3 linked regions of the Xenopus tropicalis genome follow. The protein of the gene in region 1 binds, or shares a complex with, the protein of each later gene. Links are inferred from orthologs where the notes say so. Each region holds a gene or a part of one and is shown in the gene's direction. Other genes may lie near its edges.

What was found.
Region 2: stx5 (region 1) and vamp7 share a complex: the UniProt entries of both Homo sapiens proteins name them as parts of the SNARE complex. The link is inferred for Xenopus tropicalis from reciprocal best matches to the Homo sapiens genes STX5 and VAMP7.
Region 3: stx5 (region 1) and bet1l share a complex: the UniProt entries of both Homo sapiens proteins name them as parts of the SNARE complex. The link is inferred for Xenopus tropicalis from reciprocal best matches to the Homo sapiens genes STX5 and BET1L.

Annotation. Positions count from the first base shown.
Region 1 is NC_030680.2:36,546,089-36,549,743, reverse strand, and holds part of stx5 (syntaxin-5), read left to right. Parts: intron 1-348; coding exon 349-465; intron 466-597; coding exon 598-654; intron 655-735; coding exon 736-814; intron 815-1,246; coding exon 1,247-1,347; intron 1,348-3,338; coding exon 3,339-3,460; intron 3,461-3,563; coding exon 3,564-3,655. UniProt on the Homo sapiens protein: Mediates endoplasmic reticulum to Golgi transport.
Region 2 is NC_030684.2:65,382,547-65,386,201, forward strand, and holds part of vamp7 (vesicle-associated membrane protein 7), read left to right. Parts: intron 1-1,335; coding exon 1,336-1,426; intron 1,427-2,256; coding exon 2,257-2,324; intron 2,325-2,468; coding exon 2,469-2,561; intron 2,562-2,738; coding exon 2,739-2,807; 3' UTR 2,808-3,655. UniProt on the Homo sapiens protein: Involved in the targeting and/or fusion of transport vesicles to their target membrane during transport of proteins from the early endosome to the lysosome. Required for heterotypic fusion of late endosomes with lysosomes and homotypic lysosomal fusion.
Region 3 is NC_030680.2:24,002,303-24,006,057, forward strand, and holds the start of bet1l (BET1-like protein), read left to right. Parts: upstream 1-946; 5' UTR 947-1,039; coding exon 1,040-1,058; intron 1,059-1,295; exon of another isoform or gene 1,296-1,357; intron 1,358-3,302; coding exon 3,303-3,394; intron 3,395-3,755. UniProt on the Homo sapiens protein: Vesicle SNARE required for targeting and fusion of retrograde transport vesicles with the Golgi complex. Required for the integrity of the Golgi complex.

The DNA of each region.
Region 1 (3,655 bases):
CAGGGATCCCTAACATTTTTTTACCCCTGAGCCACATTCAAATGTAAAAAGAGTTGGGGAGCAATAAAAGCATGAAAATTGTACATGAGGGTGCTAAATAAGGGCTATGATTGGCTATTTGGTAGCTCCTATGTGGGCTTGGAGCCTACAGGAGGCTTTGACAGTGGCAGTACACTTTGGTTTTAATGCAGCCAAAACTTGCCTCCAAGCCAGGAATTCAAAAATAAGCATCTGCTTTAAGGCCACTGGGAACAACATCCAAGGGGTTGGTGAGCAAAATTTTGTTCCCGAGCAACTGGTTGGGTACCAATGCTGACTATGAACATACTTTTCTTGGAACACTTGCAGGATATAGGAAGTCTGAACCAGCAGATTGCTCAGCTCCAGTCTTTTGTCCGTGCTCGTGGCAGTCAAAGTGGGCGACATCTTCAGACTCATTCAAATACGGTTGTGGTCTCCCTGCAGGTAAGGGTTAATAAATGGGAGTTGGGTACTCTTTAAGACTTGCTGGCTTACACCTCCTGCTACTGTGAAGCCATGTTAAACATTTCTGTAAGGTTCATCTCTAATTAATCAAACTATTTTTCTCTCTTTCAGTCAAAGCTTGCATCAATGTCTAATGATTTCAAGTCGGTTTTGGAAGTTAGGACAGAGGTAAAGTACTTTAGTTAAGCGTTATAGGTTGAGGGTGAAAATCCCTAAATCCCATGTTTAACACATGCATCTTTTCCACAGAACCTAAAGCAACAGAGGAGTCGAAGGGAACACTTCTCTCAAGGCCAGGTGGCACTCCCACTTCATCATAATAGCCTAGGTAGAGTGTGTGTTGTGTAATCCTGTGCCTTACTGACTACATGCATTTTTGTCTGCTGTCACTGTTCTGTATCAGGTCAGTGGTCCAACCATTCATTTGTTTGCCCTTCAGACTTTATAGTTTGTTTATTTTCCAAAGATATGGTGATTCCTCTGGGAAAGAGGACCTAACATTGATCAGATCTTGGTGAATATGTTTTTTACGAGAGACAAACTGGCTGGTATTCATATACCTTGTCAAAATTATTTGGTTTGGCTAAATCATGAGTCTGCAGGGTGAACAAGGTCTTTTTTCTTACCAGTTTTTATTATTGTACACTTTGTTTTTCTGTATTGATATTGCTATGGTAGTTTTCATATGGATTTTTCTCTCTGAAAAATTCCTGCATGTATCAGCATTATAGTGTTCTCACTCAATGTCGTGTCACCATAGGTCCCTCGGTTCTTCTTCAGGATGACTCTCGCAGACAGGGAGATGTGACTATAGAAATGGATTCCAGAGTTAGTCAGCAGCTGCAGCTTATTGATGAGCAGGTGAGGAGCGAAAATATGCAGCTAATATATTCCATCAGTATACCTTAATAGAAAACACTCACCTCCTTTTAAACTGCATATTTTTCCCATGATCAGACATTTTTGCAGAATTTTTTCCAGCTCTGTTAAACAAGGGCAATCCCCCCCAGAAATGGCAGATTCCATATTTAAATGGTATAAAAGAGCAGTGCCTCCATTTTCATTATATCTAACATAGTAGTGAAACCACCTATCACAGTGCTGTCCAACTTCTGCAGTGCCGAGGGCCGGAATTTCTCTCGAATACATGGTGGAGGGCCGCTAATGGAAGCCAGTTTTGGCCACTCCCCCATTTCAAACCACACCCATTTTATCACAATGGTCGCTGCAGGGATATCAACCATCATTCATATGTTAAAGAATTATATTATGTCATATTAAGACACACCCTTAAATCCATATGCCGCCTCCTCCTCTATGGATAGCACAGCAACCCCCAGAATATAATTACACACCTTAGGGACCATTTAATGGCTATTTCCAACTGCTAACAAACTCCCAGAACAAACCCCTGCCAGGTTCACCTCCCACAGGCAGCATAGGGTAGGCAGAATATGGCACACACAGGCAGCATTCTGCCTTTCCTATGCTGCCTGTGTGTATCATACTCTGCCTGCCTTATGCTGCCTATGTGCCACACTCTGCCTACCCTATGCTGCCTATACACAGGCAGCATAGGCCAGGCAGTACATACAATGTCTGAGGTGTGAATAGGTGAACAATGTGAGTGATTACAGCCTGAGCCTGAGGTGTGAACACTGCAGGGGGTGAACAATACAGAGTTTAAAAGGTGTGAACAACACAGGGGATTACATTTTTAAACAATACAGAGGGATTACAGCCTGAATCTGAGGTGATAACTATGCAGGGGGCCAGTTAAGGTTAGTACTGATACCATTTTAAGCCATCAAAGCAGCCAGACAGGTGGGGGGCCACACAGAGGGGGGTCGAGGGCCGCATGCGGCCCGCGGGCCGCCAGTTGGAGAGCACTGACCTATCAGAATAGTAAATCCCATATAATTTTATTTGAAAAGAGAATAAAACAAAATAATACCAAATCCCTGGGAGTTTTGCAAGTATTAAATGTTATGATTTTTATTTTATGTTTTTCCAAGGAAAGATCAGACCTTAGAAATTAGGACGTGTCCTCACTCAATTTCTAATAATAATAAAACCATTAATTGAGAAGACTGGAAAGAATTATGTTTTAGATTAATTAATCTGGAATATGGAGGATTATACTGGTTTGGGACCTGGGGTTTTCCAAATAAAGGGTCATTCTGTAATTTGGATCTCTATACTTTATATCTGCTAAAAAAAATGTCAACATTAATTAAGCCAATAGAATTGTTTTGCCTTCAATATGGGTTAATTATATCTTAATTAGGATAAAGTAGAAGGTACAGTTTTATTTTTCCAGGGAAACAATAAATCATTTTTAAAAATGTGAAATATTTTATTAAAATGGAGTCTATGAGAGATGGCCTTTCTGGTTAACACTTACAATACCTGTACCAGCAACTACTCATTCTGTCCCCCCAGAATGGAGTATTAACACTTTCATTTAATTTTGCTATGTCCAAAGATAGTTGAATTTTGGAAGGGAGAGATTGATAATAAAAATTAAAACAACATTGTCAAGTTGCTATGTTAGGCCTAAAGGATAATTTAATCATTTCCAGTAGCTCATACTATATCAAAACTACTGATTTTTAAAAATGTACTTCATGTGGTAGGACAGCTGCCATTACTTTATGTCCTCCATACTATCGTTACAGGAAACAAAAGAATGTTGAGAAAATTCTTCTTTTAGAATAAACTTCATACATGGCTATACATGTTTCATTTTATATACTGCATGTACGGTACCAGCAGAGAGATTATGCTAAACCCTTTAAAATATTAATTGGAAACATACAGTGGAAGTTTACATAGATGTCTCTATCCCTTAGGACTCATACATCCAAAGTCGAGCAGACACCATGCAGAATATAGAATCTACAATAGTAGAACTGGGATCCATATTTCAGCAGCTGGCTCATATGGTAAAGGAGCAGGAAGAGACTATACAAAGGTGAGTGCTTACTCCATGCTTATTCATTTTCTTGTTGTGAACTCTTATCTAGTATCCTGGGTGCTAACCTTTTTCCACTTTATGCTCAATTCTACCTTCTCAGGATTGATGGAAATGTAGAAGACACTCAGTTAAACGTGGAGGGCGCCCATCAAGAGATCCTGAAGTATTTCCAATCTGTCACATCGAACCGCT
Region 2 (3,655 bases), on another chromosome or scaffold:
TAACAGAAAATAGAATAAAGACCAATTGCAAAACAGCATGAATAACATCTGTGTACCATTTACAATGTTAACTAGACATTGAAGGTAAATTTGAAAAGCAAAGCGGCAGTACCTGGGTTTGCTTAGCTGCAAGCAAATGGCCTTTCACACAGTGCCTTATAGATATCCAGTTAATTATCTTGAGAGCATTAACTGATTATGAATAGAATCTCTCTAAGCCTGTCACATGGTAACATGTGATCTTGATTCACAACAGACACAAGTGTGTGAACATTCCTTGATCCTTGTGGTGTTTTTTTTTTTTGTAATTAGTATGTTTTCGGGACTAGACACAAAAATTGGATTGATTGATTGTCACAAAGGTGATGTGTTAGTAAGTTAATTGTATAGACACTTTGTTAAAACAAATATTTATAGCTGCTCATTTTCAGCAGAGTTAACCTGTACAGAAGGCCTTTCGGGTAATTTTTAGAATAGTTCTTTGTGTCAAGTCATGGCTAGATAGGAGACTGATCCCCTATGGATGAGGAATTCTGTAGAGTACTGGGATGGCATCCCTTATCCAGAAACTCATTTTCCAGAAAGCTCTGAAATACAGAAAGGCCATCAACCACATTTTAAACTAATAATTTAATTTTTTTTTTTAATTATTTCCTTTTTCTCTGTAATAATAAAACAGTACCTTTAATTGATCCCAACTTAGATATAATTAATCCTGGTTGGAGGCAAAACAATCCTACTTGGTTTAATTAAGGTTTATATGTTTTTTAGTAGATTTTAAGTATGGAGATGCAAATTACAAAATACTCCTTATCTTGAAAACCCCGGGTCCAGAGCATTCTGGGTAACAGGTCCCTTACCAGTACACTACAGGTAGTGAAAGTGCCTAGATTTTCAGGAAACTCTTGAGAGTATCTCTGATATCCGTTACTATCAAAATCATTAGAAATGACTGCACTACAATACATGGTGGTCCATCCATATAAGTCTTCTTGCACAGCTGAAGATGCTCTTTCTGTCTGCAAATGCTGAATATTACATTAACTTTTTCAGAGGGACTTGGGCATAATTATATTTGTACCATTCAGAAAGTTATAACAAAGTATCAAAGTTGTACAAGAAGTTTCTTATATGGCATGCTGTAGGTATTCACACTAAAGGTATTACATGTGTTTTTTGGGCAAGCATATATTAATATAATAACCAAAGTGATAAGAAGTTAGTCTGTATGGCTTTAAAGTAAACACCTATCCATTCACAGTACATATTTAGTCATGATGTGGACTACATTTTTTAACAGGGCATTTATAATACATATTTCTTATCTTTTATTAGAAATACCATTCTGAAAATAAGAGTATTGATCGTGTAGCAGAGACCCAAGCACAAGTCGATGAACTTAAAGGAATTATGGTCCGAAATATAGGTAAGTACAAACTGCAGACATGTTTGCTCTAATGTTTTTATTATTACTGTATATCCATTTTCATATAATATAGTGCTGACAGTTATTTGCAGAGATGTTACATTGTTCACATTAGTCCCTTGTCCCAGGGGATTTTACAGTCCAAGGTCCCTAGCATTCACACACTGTAATCAGTGCCAAATAACATTTCTGTCTTTTTTGGAATGTGGGAGGAAACTGGAGAAACGGAGGAATTCCACACAAGCACAGGGAAAATATGCAGACTTGTTGCAGATGATGTTCTCGCTGGATTTAAATCTAATAATACGGATAAGGGACTCAACATAAGTTGGACATAGTTCATTGCACTAATTTAATCTTGCTTAATCTATAAGCTGTTCTTTAGGAGATTGGCACAGATGCCATTTTTGAGAATTTTGCTTACATGTTTGAGGAAACAAAAAAAAAAAAACCCTGGGAGACAAATCAACATTGTTTACATTGTTATTGGGCTTTGAGGCCAGTGGCACAAGCAGGGGTTTCTGGGTCCTAAAAAATGTGGGCGTTATGATATGCTTTATACACATTTTAAAATTGCATTTCTGCCCTGTATGTTAGTGATGCACAAGTTGGCCAGGTTTGGGCTGACCAGTATGAACAGTAAATTAAAGTAATTTATTCATATAAAGGGCAATGCCACCTGGAGCACTTCAGGGCATTTTGTTGTCCCTGCAATTTCCAGCTGGGCAGGTGACAAAACACTTGGAATCTACATTTATGTTTGATCCTAAAACTGGAGCCTGAAAACTGTCACTTCTCTGACACAGATTTACCTTGCCTTTTATTTCCAGATCTGGTTGCCCAAAGAGGAGAACGGTTAGAGCTACTGATAGATAAAACAGAAAGCCTTGTTGATTCTGTAAGTATGCATTTGGTACTGTTTTTAAAATTGTTTTCTCTACTGGAATTATGTCGATTTCTTAGTCCTTTTATTCATTTTATAAAATGCTAGTGTTCAAATTATGTTGATGACTAAATTTTATTCTTTATCACTTTCTTAAAGTCTGTCACGTTCAAGACCACAAGCAGAAACTTGGCCAGAGCTATGTGCATGAAAAATTTGAAGTTGACCATCATAATTGCTATTGTAACCATAGTAAGTGCTGCTCTCCTCCTCACTTGCTGTTGCTTTTAAAGTGGTTTGGTAAATGCAACGTAATAGGGGTTTTCATTACTTTACATTGGTTGCTATGGGTTACTAGATGTGGGCAAATAGTCAAGTATTTATTATGCAAAATGTATTTATCTTTTTTTTTTTTCCCTTCTCCTATAGGTTATCATCTACATTATTGTGTCAGCAGCATGTGGGGGACTGTCATGGCCAAGCTGTGTGAATAAGTAGTGTTTTCTAGTGCATGAGGATTGTCCAAGAATGAGGAAAATAGTGCACTACTGTTTCACATGTGTAGCATCCTGTAGAAAAGAGACTTTAAAAAGAAGCCTTTTCCCTTGGACGCGATGACTTATCCTCTTCATTATTCTCTCATCCTTCCATCCCTAGTGGACTTCTACTGTATCTCTCTACGACATATACAAGGGAAAAGGAGGAGTGTGCGGCATCATCTTGTGCAGACAGTGAGTTGGAAGAGAAATTGGTGAATACAGATCGGCATTTCTTCTTTTTGTTGATTTTTTTTTTTGTCAGTACTGTGCCACTGATAATACTCATTAACTTCCATGACTTGTATCTGCAAAGAGTTTGCGTTTTTAGTCTTAACTGAAAACTTTTTTCCTTTCACTTTTAACCCTGTTCTTAGAGAAATATTCATTTTGTGGCTGGTGCCATTTGGGCATATTGCATTGGATGCTTTGGATTATGTGTGTCATTTGGCACCTTTGGTTGGTTGACCCACTGTAATATACTGTTTGCCATACCCAATTCCATGTGCCTCATTTAGACACACATTTTCCGGTAGTTCATGTTAAATTGTTAAAATGTATTAAGATTTTGTTCTCATTCCAAGAAACTGTTTTTATCGTTGTATACCCAGTAGTGGGATAGACTAATATTTCCCAGAAATGTCAAAAATCTTTAAGGCACTTCTGATCAACAGAAAGAAAACGTATTCTCATAAAATATATATATATATATATATATATATATATATATATTATGTTAATTTTTTTTTTTTGACAGGCCCTCGTTGTTAATGTTTGTATGCATTTGTGTCTGAAATGATGCCAGGCTGT
Region 3 (3,755 bases), about 13 Mb from region 1:
CTGCACTGGTAAGTTGTGTTTGCATTAGAATCTCAACTATATTTTATATAAACAAAGCTGTATCAAACTGAAATAAGGCTAAGGGCTCTGGCACACGGGGAGATTAGTCACCTCGCGAGTCTTTTTCGGCGATTTCGTGAAATCGCGCCGCCGCGTGTGCCATCCCGCCGGCGACTTACATGTTCACATGTTCGCTCATGGCAACTCGGGGAGATTAGTCGCCCGCGAACAGGGAGTTTTGTCGCGGGCGACTGATCTCCCCGTGTGCAAGAGCCCTAATTGACACAGGTTACACAGCTGATAATAGATAAGCAGTGTAGTTTCCCATTGTATTCTAGAGAGCTTATCAGTTTTTTGTCTTTTGTCCTCTTTTTTTTTTGCCACCTTTTCTGAAAATAAATACCGGCCTTCCTATATTTTTATCTTTTTTTTCTAATAATAACATTGGCACTAAGCATCATTTTTACCAGACAGGTGGCAACCATAACCCCAGGGCTACACAGCAGCTTTGTATATATAAACTAGAGTAGGGTTTATGAAGTAAAAGAACTTTTACTAGTGCAGGGAAACAGTACATTATATTTTAATTACTTGAAATAATTTTCATTTTTTGGTGTCGCCATTCCTTAAAGCACTGGAAGCCTTTTTTGTCACAAACTACATTGAGAGAGGCTCCAAATTGGAGAATATGTGGGGGGAGTATTGAGCTGTAATGTGTAATCTGCTTCCACTGTTTTTGTTGGACCACAAATCCCAAGATCCCCCAAGAGATTCGCCATGTGGGGCGGAGCTAGCCACAACACACAAAGTAGGAGAAGCAAAAGGAGTGCACGTTTCACTTTATTTTTTTTATATTAGGATAATTCGGATAAACTGCTTCCATGGCAACAGCGAACGCCTAAACATTAATAGGCGTGGCTTAATGAGACAGTCCGTCCTTTCTTGACGCACTGACGCAAGGTTGAAGCGTATTGGTGGCTGTGAGGGTGACGTTAGTGACGTGTAATATCCTGCCGCGTCACATTTAGAAGAATCCAAGATGGCGGACTGGGGCAGAGGTACTGGGGTCTAGGGTGCTTGTGTGAGATAAATACGTGTGTTATGTAGGATATCAGTGCTCCCTGAATGCCGAGAGAGTGGGGGCAGCGGCCTGGCAAACAGAGAAGGTGTTTGCGTGGGATTCGCTCTGGGATATTAAGCGTAAAGCAAAGGAACTGAGAGGGAATCTATGCTGGAATTAATGTTTGGGGGCGGTACTCTGTCCTGGGTGGGGCTCTATGCTAGGGGTGGTCTCCATGGGGGCTGTATGGGGAAGTACTCTGAAGGCCTTTGGTGGGTGATTTCTCTGTTAGGGAAGGTCAGTATGGGAATGTGCTGTATACTCTGTACTACACAGTGTTCAGGGTGCGGGGGTTCTACTCTGTGTAGACTGAGACTGTTCTAGGAGTCATTAGAGAGTCGTGGGGGTCTCTAGTATAGTGTTGCAGTCTGTACCAGTCTGTATAGTGTTGCAGTCTGTACCAGTCTGTATAGTGTTGCAGTCTGTACCAGTCTGTATAGTGTTGCAGTCTGTACCAGTCTGTATAGTGTTGCAGTCTGTACCAGTCTGTATAGTGTTGCAGTCGTACCAGTCTGTATAGTGTTGCAGTCTGTACCAGTCTGTATAGTGTTGCAGTCTGTACCAGTCTGTATAGTGTTGCAGTCTGTACCAGTCTGTATAGTGTTGCAGTCTGTACCAGTCTGTATAGTGTTGCAGTCTGTACCAGTCTGTATAGTGTTGCAGTCTTACCAGTACCAGTCTGTATAGTGTTGCAGTCTGTACCAGTCTGTATAGTGTTGCAGTCTGTACCAGTCTGTATAGTGTTGCAGTCTGTACCAGTTCTGTATAGTGTTGCAGTCTGTACCAGTCTGTATAGGTGTTGCCAGTTGCTGTACCAGTCTGTATAGTGTTGCAGTCTGTACCAGTCTGTATAGTGTTGCAGTCTGTACCAGTCTGTATAGTGTTGCAGTCTGTACCAGTCTGTATAGTGTTGCAGTCTGTACCAGTCTGTATAGTGTTGCAGTCTGTATAGTGTTGCAGTCTGTACCAGTCTGTATAGTGTTGCAGTCTGTACCAGTCTGTATAGTGTTGCAGTCTGTACCAGTCTGTATAGTGTTGCAGTCTGTACCAGTCTGTATAGTGTTGCAGTCTGTACCAGCAGTCCCCAGTGTGAGGGGAGTTGGAGATCTCTCTGCTCGTTACTGGGCTGGGGAAGTGTATTAGTGTTGTGCGTGGGTACGGCACCATAAGCAATGATTTCCTGTACTTATAATAATAATATTATAATAAGCACACATTTGGGTGCCTCTCTCTTCTCTTGTTGATATCTGAGGGGCTGTTGTAATAATTTCAGACATAATAGGGGTGGGGGAGGGTTTCATAGGGCTCCAGGTTACTTTCTTAGTGCGTTATAGTCGGCTCCTTGAAGGGGAATTGCTATAAACTTAGCAGTCTCTGAGCACTTTTGCAGTGTGCATTGATTTTCTAGTTTTAATGGTTTGTGAGTCAGTAGCAGATACGTGCTGCCAGGAAGACCTCGGCTCATCAGCTCTCTTTGAATGCCCGAAAAGACTGTGGCCCTGACTGTCTATGCATTTGTAGTTTCTTTTAACCCTGGGGTTTCTGAAATGAATGTATATTGCAAAAAGGCCCAGAGAAACTCTGCCCATATGTGACTATGGCCATATCGCACTAGGATCTGCCTTGCCATGGCCAGATATATATTGATATATATTGAAATTGGCTTTATTGATTATGTTAAATGCACGTCACACATGAGGACTTTAGTCTGGGGATGTGTTTGTGCATTAGGTGAGACAGCAGTCGGGCATCCTGGAAATCCCTTCTTACATCCTGACAGTCTCATTCTAGTTTCCACTCTCGTGATTCAGGGCCGGCACCACTGTCCCTTCCCCGCGTTGTTGGGCCGGCACCACTGTCCCTTCCCCGCGTTGTTGGGCCGGCACCACTGTCCCTTCCCCGCGTTGTTGGGCCGGCACCACTGTCCCTTCCCCGCGTTGTTGGGCCGGCACCACTGTCCCTTCCCCGCGTTGTTGGGCCGGCACCACTGTCCCTTCCCCGCGTTGTTGGGCCGGCACCACTGTCCCTTCCCCGCGTTGTTGGGCCGGCACCACTGTCCCTTCCCCGCGTTGTTGGGCCGGCACCACTGTCCCTTCCCCGCGTTGTTGGGCCGGCACCACTGTCCCTTCCCCTTCCAAAAAAGAAAAACCTGCCATTCAGTTGCTCTTTGTTTTTTTTACAGGGCCAAATTCAGGAGCAGTGGATGAGATGTTGGATGCAGAGAACAAACGGCTGTCAGAAAATCTTTCTTCGAAGGTGACCAGGCTGAAATCAGTAAGTAGGAGTGGTAGATATTCTACAGGAATAAATAACTGATGTGTAGGCCTCTATTCACAGCGCCTTTCTCTTTTGCCTCTCTAACAATTCCTACTATATGCATAAAGTACAGGGCACTTCTGCCTCTCTAACAATTCCTACTGTATGCATAAAGTACAGGGCACTTCTGCCTCTCTAACAATTCCTACTGTATGCATAAAGTACAGGGCACTTCTGCCTCTCTAACAATTCCTACTATATGCATAAAGTACAGGGCACTTCTGCCTCTCTAACAATTCCTACTGTATGCATAAAGTACAGGGCACTTCTGCCTCTCTAACAATTCCTACTGTATGCATAAAGTACAGGGCACTTCTGC